3 linked regions of the Ovis aries genome follow. The protein of the gene in region 3 purifies or fractionates together with the protein of the main gene of each other region. This does not show direct contact. Links are inferred from orthologs where the notes say so. Each region holds a gene or a part of one and is shown on either strand. Other genes may lie near its edges. The genes, in order: KLC3, KLC2 and KIF5B.

Region 1 (3,745 bases), on a different chromosome or scaffold from region 3:
CCATATGCCACAGAGCAATAAGCCAGTGTACCACGACTACTGAGCGTGCGCTCTAGAGCCGGGGAGCTGAAACTGTGGAGGCCAAGCGCCTAGAGCCTGTACTCTGCAACAGGAGAACCCACCTCGACGAGAAGCCCACGCAGCAAGGAAGACCCAGCACAGCCAAAAACAAACCAAACGATAAGAAGGAGAAATAAAACGCCAGACAGAAAACAACGTATGGTTACCAAAGGGGGCAGAGGGTGCGGAGGGATAGACTGGGGTTAACATATACACATGTAAAATCAATAACCAACAAGAATCTACTGTAAACCTCAGGGAACTGTGCTCAATATATTATAATAACTTACAGTGGAAAACAATGGGAAAAATAAAGAGAAAATCCAACCGAATCACTTTGCTGCACCCCTGAAACTAAAAGCCAGCACACAAATAAACCCCCCTCCCTCACCCCTCTTCACTTGTGAAAATGAAACCCAATCCCAAGTCACTCCCATTCGGACTGTCTCCTTGAACATGCACTCTCCCACACCTCCACATCCTGCCAGCGCCAGCCCTCCATCCCACGCCTCCCTCCCTCTCGGCTCCCAGGACTCGCGGTGGACCTGTCATCGTTCCTCCCCGCTTCCTCCACCGCCCCTGCCCGGCCACACACAGACACACTAGAGTTTCACGCACGAATGTGCGAATGACCCGATGCTGGCTCCTACACCTTCGCAAGCGGGTGCCCACGGCACAGACACACGGAGACACACAGAGTTCCACGTTCTCATGCACAGACTCGCAGGCTGACTTCACTCCACCCGTGGCATCCCCGAAAGCAGCGCTGCGCTTTTCACACCTGCGCACATGCTCACAATCACATCCACTCAGACACAGAGCAAGGGCAGGTGTGCAACCACAGGGGTTTTGCACACTGCAGGCTCTCCACCCCGAATCTCCCTCTTTCCCTATGTGTATGTGTTCACGCACATATCGATCTCCATGTACGTTGTACATGTGTGTGCGTATATCACATCAGACTTATTAACAGCTTCACACCTTACACGCAAGTCCTATAAATGATCACTCACGACCACGCCAGTTCATTGAGTCATCTTGACAACCATGACCCTTATTCACGTATACAACCTCCTACAACATCAAGCACAACCTCGAACAGCTGAGTCGACTGTTCCAGACACGGCCTCATAGAGTACCGCTCACAGAGATACATACAGCTCGACCACAGCCACGCATCACTCGGACTGTCCTTGACACGTCTCCCACACTCACACATCCTCCCAAACAGCACACTCCCCTTCACCTGCTCAGCCTCGTGTGTACCAGCACACAGCTGACCACAATAATCAGTCACACTCCACACATCCATCCTGTACCCCACAGCACACACCTCCCTGCCATCCCCGCCCCCACCAGTCTTACCATCAGAGAGACAACCACGGCCATGCAATTTCTCGGTCACATACCTAACCCTATAAACAGTTCAACTCTGCCAAACACACACACACACACAGCATTACAGACTCACCATCAGAGGTGGCCCACATTTTCACACCACTGAAAGTTTCACATCATTCACACGGTCCTTTGGTGCCCTCGCAGGGCTAAACGGACAGGCCATCCCCGGTACCAACCTGTACCCACATCTGTACGCACCGTTTGACACCATCACACACATCTGAGCTTTCTACACCATCTCTCGTGCACACTCACGCCCAATATCCACGCACATATACACTTGCAGCGGGAGTGTATGGACCGCTCCCCAAACCACACAACTTACCCCTGGCCGGCCGGCTGAGCCCCGCGCACCCCGGTTTCACAGCCCGCCAGCCTGCCAGCCGGCCGGGCCGTCACAAGGGCCCCCTCCCTTTCCCAGGCCCCGCCCCGTCCTCGCGCCTGTTTACCTGCGCCCCGAGAGAGGGGGCGCGGCCCCAGCGCGCCCTCCAGACCCGGGAGAGCCCGAGAGCGGGACAGGGGGCGTCCAGGGACCCCAAGGCCCGTCCCCGTCTCCAGGCCATTGGTCCCAGGGGTGTGCCAGGCCCAGCCCACACCCTCTGCCCCCGCCTCCATCCTCTCGGCTCCTGGGACTCCCCCCCACACTCCTGGCGCCCAACTGACCGCGAACGGCTCCAAGTCCCGCTTCTCCGCGCTGCGCACGCACGGCCGCCGCCCGCAGCTGCGCCCGCAGTCTCCGGCCGCGGGCGGCTCCTCCGCGGGGCGGGGCGGGGCGGCCCGCAGCCCCGCCCCGCAGGTGAGACCGGCCCCGCCCGCCGCTCCTGGAAAGTTAAGCCCAGCCGCCCCAGCGCTGCGGGAGTAGCAGAGCCTTGTGCGCGCGTTTAGCCGGTAGTCTCTGCGGCACGTCGAATCCGAGATGATTGCAGGCGCGCGGGAAATGAGAGTCTCCGCGAAACTAGAATCTTGGAAACTCGAAATCTTAGAAACTTTACATCCCAGACGGATGGCTTTCTTGCAAGGCCAGCCTCCGGCCCTTCGCCTCGGCTGTGCGCCCGCTTTGGAAATCTCTCCACATACATCTCGACGCTTGTCCTTTTTCAAAGGCCGTTTCCTCCGAGAGGCCTTCCTTGCCGCTTCTAAAATACACCCTTCCCACCGAAACACAACCTCATTTATCTGCTTGATTTTGTTAATAAATTTTTTCAGGACCTAAAATTATATAACATTATAATTACTGTGTTATGTTACATCAGGTTATTGGCGAGGCTAAAAATCTGGCTCTGAGTTCACATCATGTTTCACCATTTACTGGCTGTGCAGGCTTTGGACAGTAACTTAACCTCTCTGTCTCCGTTTCCCTGATCTCTAATGGATTAGTCAAAAGCTGTGAGGACTGAATGCCTTAATATATGGATTGGAAGCATTTAGCAAATATTAGCTGCTGATTTTGTGGTGTTATATTATTGGTTCGGCTTTCCAAGCGGAGCTAAAAAAAGAAAAACCACCTGCCTATGCAGGAGATATAAGAGATGCGAGTGCGATCCCTGGTTTGGGAAGATCCCCTAGAGGAGGGCATGGCAGTCCACTCCAGTATTCTTGCCTGGAGAATCCCATGGACACAGAAGTCTGGCAGGCTACAGTCCTTTGGGTCACAAAGAGTCAGACACAACTGAAGCAACTCAGCACAGATGCATTATTGTTCTCCCCCAGGGAAAGGTGTACATCAAGGCTGTATATTGTCACCCTGCTTATTTAACTTGTATGCAGAGTACATCATGCAAAATCCTGGGCTAGATGAAGCACAAGCTGGAATCAAGATTGCCAGGAGAAATATCAATAACCTCAGATACACAGATGACACCACCCTTATGGTAGAAAACGAAGAGGAACTAAAAAGCCTCTTGACAATAGTGAAAGAGGAGAGTAAAAAAAAAAAAAACTGGCTTAAAATTCAACATTTAAAAAACTAAGAACATGGCATCTGGTCCCATTACTTCATGGTGACTAGATGGGGAAACAATGGAAACAGTGACAGATTTACTTTCTTGGGCTCCAAAATCACTGCAGATCTTGACTGCAGCCATGAAATTTAAAACATGCTTGCTCCTTGGAAGAAAAGCTATGACCAGTCTAGACAGCGTATTAAAAAGCAGAAACATTGCCAACAAATGTCCATACACTCAAAGGTATGGTTTTTCCAGTAGTCATGTATAGATGTGAGAGTTGGACAATAAGGCTGAGCATTGAAGAATTGACGCTTTTGAACTGTGGTGTTTGAGAAGAC
Region 2 (3,645 bases), on a different chromosome or scaffold from region 3:
AGTTGGGGAAGAGGGATGGGAGCTGAGGCCCCTGCATCCCCTTCCCTGCCTCTCTGGTTCCCCAGAAAACCAGGGGTTTAGGACACATACTCCTCTCCCTGGGAGCTGCAGGTGGCCCCTGGGCAGAAGTCAGGATGGGGTCTCTTGGTATCCTTTCAGCCATCTCTCAGGAATCTTTGGAAAAGTGCTAGCCCTGGGCCAGGGGCAGTGGTTTAGTGGCTCTGGCTACAGGGCTTGAGTACAACTCCTCAGAGAGACAGGAAGAGAGCGGCCAGCTTGGAGAACGGGCAGCACCCCAGTCAGCGCTCTTCATGATCAGAACAACTGGACGTCTATGCGGAGGGCTAGCTGGAGGCCCCAGGAAAGGGGATGATGGGTTCTTTCAGAGTCTAGCAGAGCCAGCCTGGGAGCCCAGGGGTCCCTACTGCAAAAGGAAGGAGCTGGGGATCCCCAAGCCTCCTGGGTTCAGGTCTCAGGCTGTGTGTGGTCTGTTTGGGGCCCTGGGGCAAAACTCTGTCAATGAGAGAACTTGGGACCCTCAGGCTGGCAGCTCCTCCAGGCCTGGCTCTTTTCTGGGCCCCAGGAGGCCCAGGCTGGGCATGGTGTGGGGGCGGGTGGATAGGGCTTTGACCTCCATTCTGGCTGTCTGCCACAGGTGATCTTGGCGCTCTCAAGCCATCTGGGGGCCGTGGAGTCGGAGAAGCAGAAACTGCGGGCCCAGGTGCGGCGCTTGGTGCAGGAGAACCAGTGGCTGCGCGAGGAGCTGGCGGGGACGCAGCAGAAGCTGCAGCGCAGCGAGCAGGCCGTGGCCCAGCTCGAAGAGGAGAAGCAGCACTTGCTGTTCATGAGCCAGATCCGCAAGTTGGATGAGGACACCCCCCCCAACGTAAGCCCCGGTGTAGCCATTGCAAGGCCACTGCGGGGGGTGGGGGGCAGGTCCAGGACCAGGGGAGGTGCCAGGGAACAAGCGCAGTTCCCACCCAGCCTGCTGACCCCTGGGCTGCCCACATTCCCTGACGCTCATCCTGTCTCCCTCCCCAGGAGGACAAGGGGGATGTCCCCAAAGACTCTCTGGATGACCTGTTCCCCAGCGAGGAGGAGCAGAACCCAGGTGCAGAGGGGCGGCTGGCTTTGGGGGTGGGAAAAGAAGACTGGGTGAACCAGTCCCTGGGACCCAGAGGTCACAGGAAACGAGGTCTGACTGAGTGACCACCAGGTGCTTCCCTGCCTCGTTTCTGATCATAACATCCCAGCATGAGCACTTAAAAGGCTGGCTTTACCTGTTGCTTCTCTCATCCCCTCAAGTTCCGTGAGGAGCAGGCATCACAATTCAGAGCCCTGGAGCCGCCCGGCCTGGGTGCGAGCCCTGACTTGCACTCTTTGGTCTGTGACCGCTGGTAGAGTTTCTTTTCTTCTCCGAGCCTCCCCCGAGGGTTAAAGGAGGACGCACGCGCAGCACTGAACCCCAGGCTGGAGCCCCGGGCCAGTGCTGGCCTTGCTCATGTTTCCTGTGCCAATCAGAGCCTCCCTTCTGCAGATGAGGTGGCGGCCGCTCCTCTCGGGAGCGAGGCGGCTTGCTCTGGGCCACATGGCTTGAAGTACCAGAGCTGGGCCTCCACCCTCTCTTTCTGTGGCTTGCCTGGACCCTCTCTATAGATGCGGAAAGTGAGAGAGGGTGACAGTGACTTGCCCAGGGCCACGGGTGTGATCAGTCAAAGCTGCCCCCCAGCTCAGGGGGTACATCTGGCCTCCCCTCCTTGGCTTTGCAGCCCCCAGCCCTGGAGGAGGCGATGTGGCCGCCCAGCACGGGGGCTATGAAATCCCGGCCCGGCTGCGCACCCTGCACAACCTGGTGATCCAGTACGCCTCCCAGGGCCGTTATGAGGTGGCCGTGCCCCTCTGCAAGCAGGCCCTGGAGGACCTGGAGAAGACATCGGGCCACGACCACCCGGACGTGGCCACCATGCTGAACATCCTGGCGCTGGTCTACCGGTGAGGCACCCCCCCGACCACGGTCACCTGTGGGAGCACTCTTCCTGGGGATGACAAAGCACTGGTGCCTGCAGTGGGCCAGGACTCGGGCTCCACTAGGCAGCAAGCTGGGTGACAGAAGGATCTTGTCCCCAGAGAGGGCTGAGCCCACAGCAGGGCCTGGGCTACACATCATGCCTCAGTCTAGTGCGGGAAATGGGCTTGGACAAGACTGGGGAGGGGGCAACATACAAGCGCGCTGGGCACAGCCTCTCCAACACCAAGGCTTGAGGCGGGCCTCTGGTGAAAGTGGAGTTTGCCCAAAACGTAAGGGGATTGGAAGTTTTGTTGGCAGAAAGAGCAGCAGGAGCAGAGGCCCTGGGGAATAGACCACAAGGAACACTGGGCACGAGGCAGTGAGGGCAGGGCATGGGGGGTGTCTGGCTCATACCCCAGCACTGCATGTGCTTCCTGCCCAGAGCCCGCCAAGCCGGAGGGCAGGGGCTGACCATGTTTCTCAGTGCCCTGGGTCATACCCCCATCGTGCTCACTCATCAGAACAGGCAGAAGGAGTGACCCCAGGGATCTGGGGAGGAGGGCCTTGGGCTGGAGGATACCATTCATCAGCTCGCACCTGCCCCTAGGGACCAGAACAAGTACAAGGAGGCTGCCCACCTGCTCAATGATGCCCTGGCCATCCGCGAGAAGACTCTGGGCAAGGACCACCCAGCTGTGAGTGAGGCTTCCTCCCCGCCCCTCTGTAGGTCCCAGGTCCCAGCAGGGCCCAGGTCACGGAGCCTCTGTTCTCCCCTCCTCTAGGTGGCTGCAACACTGAATAACCTGGCAGTCCTGTATGGCAAGCGGGGCAAGTACAAGGAGGCTGAGCCCCTGTGCAAGCGGGCGCTGGAGATCCGGGAGAAGGTGGGAGTAGGCAGCGCAGGGCCGGCCAGGTGGGCTGGGGGTGCCCCTAGGCTGGCCCCGAGCCCAGCCACTGGTTCCTCTGGTGCTAGGTCCTGGGCAAGTTTCATCCAGACGTGGCCAAGCAGCTGAGCAACCTGGCCCTACTGTGCCAGAACCAGGGCAAAGCCGAGGAGGTGGAATACTACTACCGGCGCGCGCTGGAGATCTATGCCACACGCCTTGGGCCTGACGACCCCAACGTGGCCAAGACCAAGAACAACCTGGTGTCCTGGGGCGGAGGGGGCCTGGAGGAGGGGGGAGGAGGGGAAAAGACTCAATTCCTTCCATCTTGCTCACCTCTGGGCCCTGCCCCTCCAGGCCTCCTGCTACCTGAAGCAGGGCAAGTACCAGGATGCAGAGGCCCTGTACAAGGAGATCCTCACCCGCGCTCACGAGAAGGAGTTCGGCTCTGTCAGCGGTGAGCAGGGCTGCCGGGGGCTCACCCAGCGCAGGCCAGCTCAGCCACCAGCATCCACGGCAGACACCTCGGCTGGGCAGGCCTCGCGCCAGGTGTCTGGCTGGTCCGCAGCCATGTATGTGCACATGTGAGCACACGCCCCCCCACTGGCACAGCCTCCAGGGGGCTGGATCCATGCAATGCCCTCCCTGTGCACACCTGTGTCCTCAGCTTTGAGCTTCTACCCCTTGCTCTACTGGGCAACACATGCTCAGTGGGAGGGCCCAGCCCAAATGTCTTCCCCTCTGGGAAGCCAC
Region 3 (3,745 bases):
TTAATGACTTCTACATGCAGAAGACTGGTTTCTGAAACTAATGAACTAAACATGTCGCCTTACACTTTCTAAAGCTCTATCACACTCAGTTGTCATATACTTCTGCTTATACTTAAAAAAATAAAAACCCGAAACGACTAAAATGCTTACCAGTTTATGTAAAAGTCAACTAACTGTACATTACTGGTTTATGACTAAATTACCTGTCCATGATGTTTAATATCACCACTTGAATTGACTTAAGTACTAAGGAAACCTAAGTAAGGAACTTAAAATAACTTTATCCAAAGGAAAAGAACCTAAAATAAATGTGTGCTTCCTGTGCTAATTGTTTATTTTCTTTTAACTCTTTCCTCCTATCTTATGTCATATTTGGCCCGCAACAGAAGGCTATCTTCTAACCTAACCATAAAACATTTTGTGAATCCTAAATCTTACCATTACAACAAATAAATTTTCATAATACTATAGGTTTGTGTAAATACCCACATACAAAAAAAAATCTGAAGAAATAAAACAGCCTTAACACAAATCTGAAAGGAAAATAGCTTGGTTATGTCAACCACTATAGAGGCTGAGTAATCACAAAAATCATATGAGAAACTAACAGCCTACTAGTGTTGGCCAACTAACAATCCAGGCCTAGTGAGCATCCTCTAAAATCATGTGAAATATCTCATCCTGAAGGAAAAGGATGATTAGTTTTGTGTATAACTTCTTGGCCTCTCCATGATGTCATGTATAGCAAGGGTTTTTCTGTGGACTTGTTAACAAAGAACCAGCCTGACAGTCTTCACACAGTAAGAGCTGGCAGTTATTAGGAACCTAATGACTTGTTTGCCAAAACCCTCCCAAGCAATGTGGAGCTATGACATTAATCTTCTAGAGCAGAACTTGGAAACTTTCACATAAAAATTCAAGGAACTTGAGTTCTGTCTTACATGTCAATGCTTCTAACCTTCAATGTTCCATCTCCTGTGATACTTCTGTCCCATTTCTACATTAAGATATTTAAACTTATGCTAAATGGTAAGGTGAAAAAGTTAACACTAAAATTGGGAGGCGTGATAGCAATGTAGAAAGATGGCATCAGCAAGAAAGAGGAATTTAATTTTTTGTCAGAGTTCACTGTTCTGTAGGCAGTTATCTTACTCTCCATTTTAATCTCCTTGAATTGGGAATTATTTTCAAGACCTTTCACGTTATGTTTCACGTTACAAAAGACATTATCTCACCATCTTTGTGATTATCGAAGTCATTTTTCTTCAAGGCAGATCCTAATTGTAGAAGTAGGAATCTGATACTAACAAGAAATCTAGTTTACTGATTAAATTTTTATATATATATATTTTTTAAGTTTGCTTTTATAATATTTTGATATACACACGAAAAGTTAACACTCTTTCCCGGAGTGCTACCCCATAAAACCCAGTTAGTCTCTTGGTTACTTATTTAACCCAGCGTTGATCGGCGAGATCCGTTGGTGGATGAGACAAAATCGAGCGCTTCGATTTCTAAAGAAAACTCCTTTCTACAAGTCCTGGATTAGCCATTTGTGACTGTAAACTCAAAAAGCGGGTTGGGTGAACACTGAAGGTACCAGCATAACTGCGACTGTTAGTTATGGTTTTCCTTCTCCACGGAGGAAACAAGACGGCCTAACGCACCTTAAAGATTTCTTTTAAGACTAAATATCATTACTATTTAAAGTTCGGTAAGGCAGATCCCAACGTTCTCGGCCGAACTCTGATTTATGAATGATAAATCTGAGGGGAAGGGGGTCCGACACACCGACTACATCTACATCAGAACCTGCAGGCGCACAGAAAGCCGGCGAACGAGCACTCAACTGGTTCCCCGACAGCTCCACCCGCGCCCCAGGTAGGGGAGTGCCCGGGACCCAGGGCGGGTGCCTCCCGTCCCCGGCGCTGCAGACCGGGGTGGGGAGACCCCGGAGCACCCGACGAGGCGCCGAGCCCCTCCCCTGGGCCGTCGGACCCCACTGGGGAGGCTGGGGCGCCCCAAAGCTCGCTCTCCGCTCACTCCCCACTTCTCTCAGCTCCCGGGGCGGCCGGGCCCGAAGGAGGGAGCCTGGGTGGGGGCAGGGGCACTCACCGCGATCATGACCGTGTCTTCTCCCTGAAACTTGGCGATGTACTTATCGCCGCGGTTCACCTCCGACTCGTTGAGCGGTCTGAAGCGACACATCACTTTGATGTTGCACTCGGCCGGGTCCGCCATCTTCCCGGCTGCCGGGGCCGGAGGCCGGGAGCCACTCCCCGCCGCTCAGTCTTGGAGGAAGTAGGCCGAGCCGAGGGGGCTAGCGTGGCGAAGGCCGAGGGCCCGCGGTCCGCAGCGTCGCGCTTCACCGGCGGGGCGGCCGGGACCTGGGCGGCAGCGCCCGGGCCGGCACGGTCACCCACAGGCTCACTTCCGACCCATCATGGCAGCCATGGCGGCGGCGGGGCCTCCTCAGCTTCTCCCTTGACTGGCGGGGCAGGTTGCTGGGCTGACGGATCCCGGAGACCGGGAGCGCGAGCCCCCCTGTCTTCCTGGGAGACAGCAGGCCGAGCCCACCTTCAGCCTGCCCGGCTGTCGGCTCGCCGGCTCGCCGGCTGCAGCCTGACCACTCCTGAGGCCGCGGACTGGCGGCGGGATGGGCGGCGCGGACGGAGAACTGCGCACGCGCGGCGGACCGGCGCCCCGGCGACCAATCCGCGGCCGCGCCGCTGCTCCACGCCGGGGTTGCAGGGCCAAGTTACCGGACGCGCAAGCGCAGAGTGAGCTATCGACCCCGCAGGGGATTCCGCGGAGTTAAGCGATGCCCTAACGTTTTTTTCTGTAGAGGACAAGGGACCTTGTTAAAAGTGCTTGACGTTGTAGTTTAAGTGAAAAACTATATTCCTGTTAGGACGTGTTCGCTTTCTGTTTTGTCTGGAGATACATTGATTTCTAGCCCACCTTTTTAGAGCGCTTTGCCAGAAAAAGGAAGATTTGAATGAAGGGCGGGACGTGGCTTATGGTTCAAGTGGTTGCTCATTCCTAAGAGAGGGGGTTGGGGGACAGGAATAAGAAAAAGGAAGTTTCGTCTGAGGACTAGAAGGTGCTGAAGAAAAGTGCAACAGTAGGGTAAGGTGGGAGAAGACCCCCGGAGAACTGGCGGTCCCAATGACTCCGTAATAATCCTATGGAACTCATCAGTCTCCACATCTGGAGTGTGAAGACAGAAAAACTGCAAAGACGACTAGGACCGCTAATCCTAGTCCCCGATTTTTGTTCGTAAAATGGAAGAGTGTAGGACTTACCTAGTGCTCCAGTAGTTAAGAATCCGTCTTGCAATGCAGGGGGCAGGGGTTCCATCCCACGTGGAGAAACTAAGATCCCACCCAACATGCTGCTGCAGCGTGGCCAAAAATTTAAAAAAAAAAAAAAGAGGCGTGTACTATTGTTTAGTCGCTAAGTCGTGTGGGACTCTGCAGCCCCACAGTCTGAAGCACCCCAGCCTTCCCTGTCCTTCAATATCTCCTGGAGTTTGCTCAAAGTGATGTCCAATGAATCAGTAATGCTGTCCAACCATCTCATCCTCTGCCGCTACCTTCTCCTGCCCTCAATCTTTCCCAGCATCAGGGTCTTTCCCAATGAGTCAGCTCGTCGGATCAAGTGGCCAAAATATTAGAGTTTCAGCTTTAGTCCTTCCAGTGAATATTCAGGGTTGATTTCCTTTAGGATTGACTGGAGAGGACTC

The links.
Region 1: the proteins of KIF5B (region 3) and KLC3 purify together in Homo sapiens (affinity purification with mass spectrometry; 3 studies listed by BioGRID and IntAct, with this or other methods). This does not show direct contact. The link is inferred for Ovis aries from reciprocal best matches to the Homo sapiens genes KIF5B and KLC3.
Region 2: the proteins of KIF5B (region 3) and KLC2 fractionate together in Homo sapiens (co-fractionation; 7 studies listed by BioGRID and IntAct, with this or other methods). This does not show direct contact. The link is inferred for Ovis aries from reciprocal best matches to the Homo sapiens genes KIF5B and KLC2.

The regions. Positions count from the first base shown.
Region 1 is NC_056067.1:52,758,466-52,762,210, reverse strand, and holds the start of KLC3 (kinesin light chain 3), read right to left. Parts: upstream 2,219-3,745; 5' UTR 2,125-2,218; intron 1-2,124. UniProt on the Homo sapiens protein: Kinesin is a microtubule-associated force-producing protein that may play a role in organelle transport. Plays a role during spermiogenesis in the development of the sperm tail midpiece and in the normal function of spermatozoa.
Region 2 is NC_056074.1:40,746,586-40,750,230, forward strand, and holds part of KLC2 (kinesin light chain 2), read left to right. Parts: intron 1-655; coding exon 656-886; intron 887-1,041; coding exon 1,042-1,111; intron 1,112-1,769; coding exon 1,770-1,992; intron 1,993-2,615; coding exon 2,616-2,703; intron 2,704-2,790; coding exon 2,791-2,892; intron 2,893-2,981; coding exon 2,982-3,155; intron 3,156-3,249; coding exon 3,250-3,349; intron 3,350-3,645. UniProt on the Homo sapiens protein: Kinesin is a microtubule-associated force-producing protein that plays a role in organelle transport. The light chain functions in coupling of cargo to the heavy chain or in the modulation of its ATPase activity.
Region 3 is NC_056066.1:32,694,280-32,698,024, reverse strand, and holds the start of KIF5B (kinesin-1 heavy chain), read right to left. Parts: upstream 2,648-3,745; 5' UTR 2,242-2,647; coding exon 2,116-2,241; intron 2,091-2,115; exon of another isoform or gene 1-2,090. UniProt on the Homo sapiens protein: Microtubule-dependent motor required for normal distribution of mitochondria and lysosomes. Can induce formation of neurite-like membrane protrusions in non-neuronal cells in a ZFYVE27-dependent manner.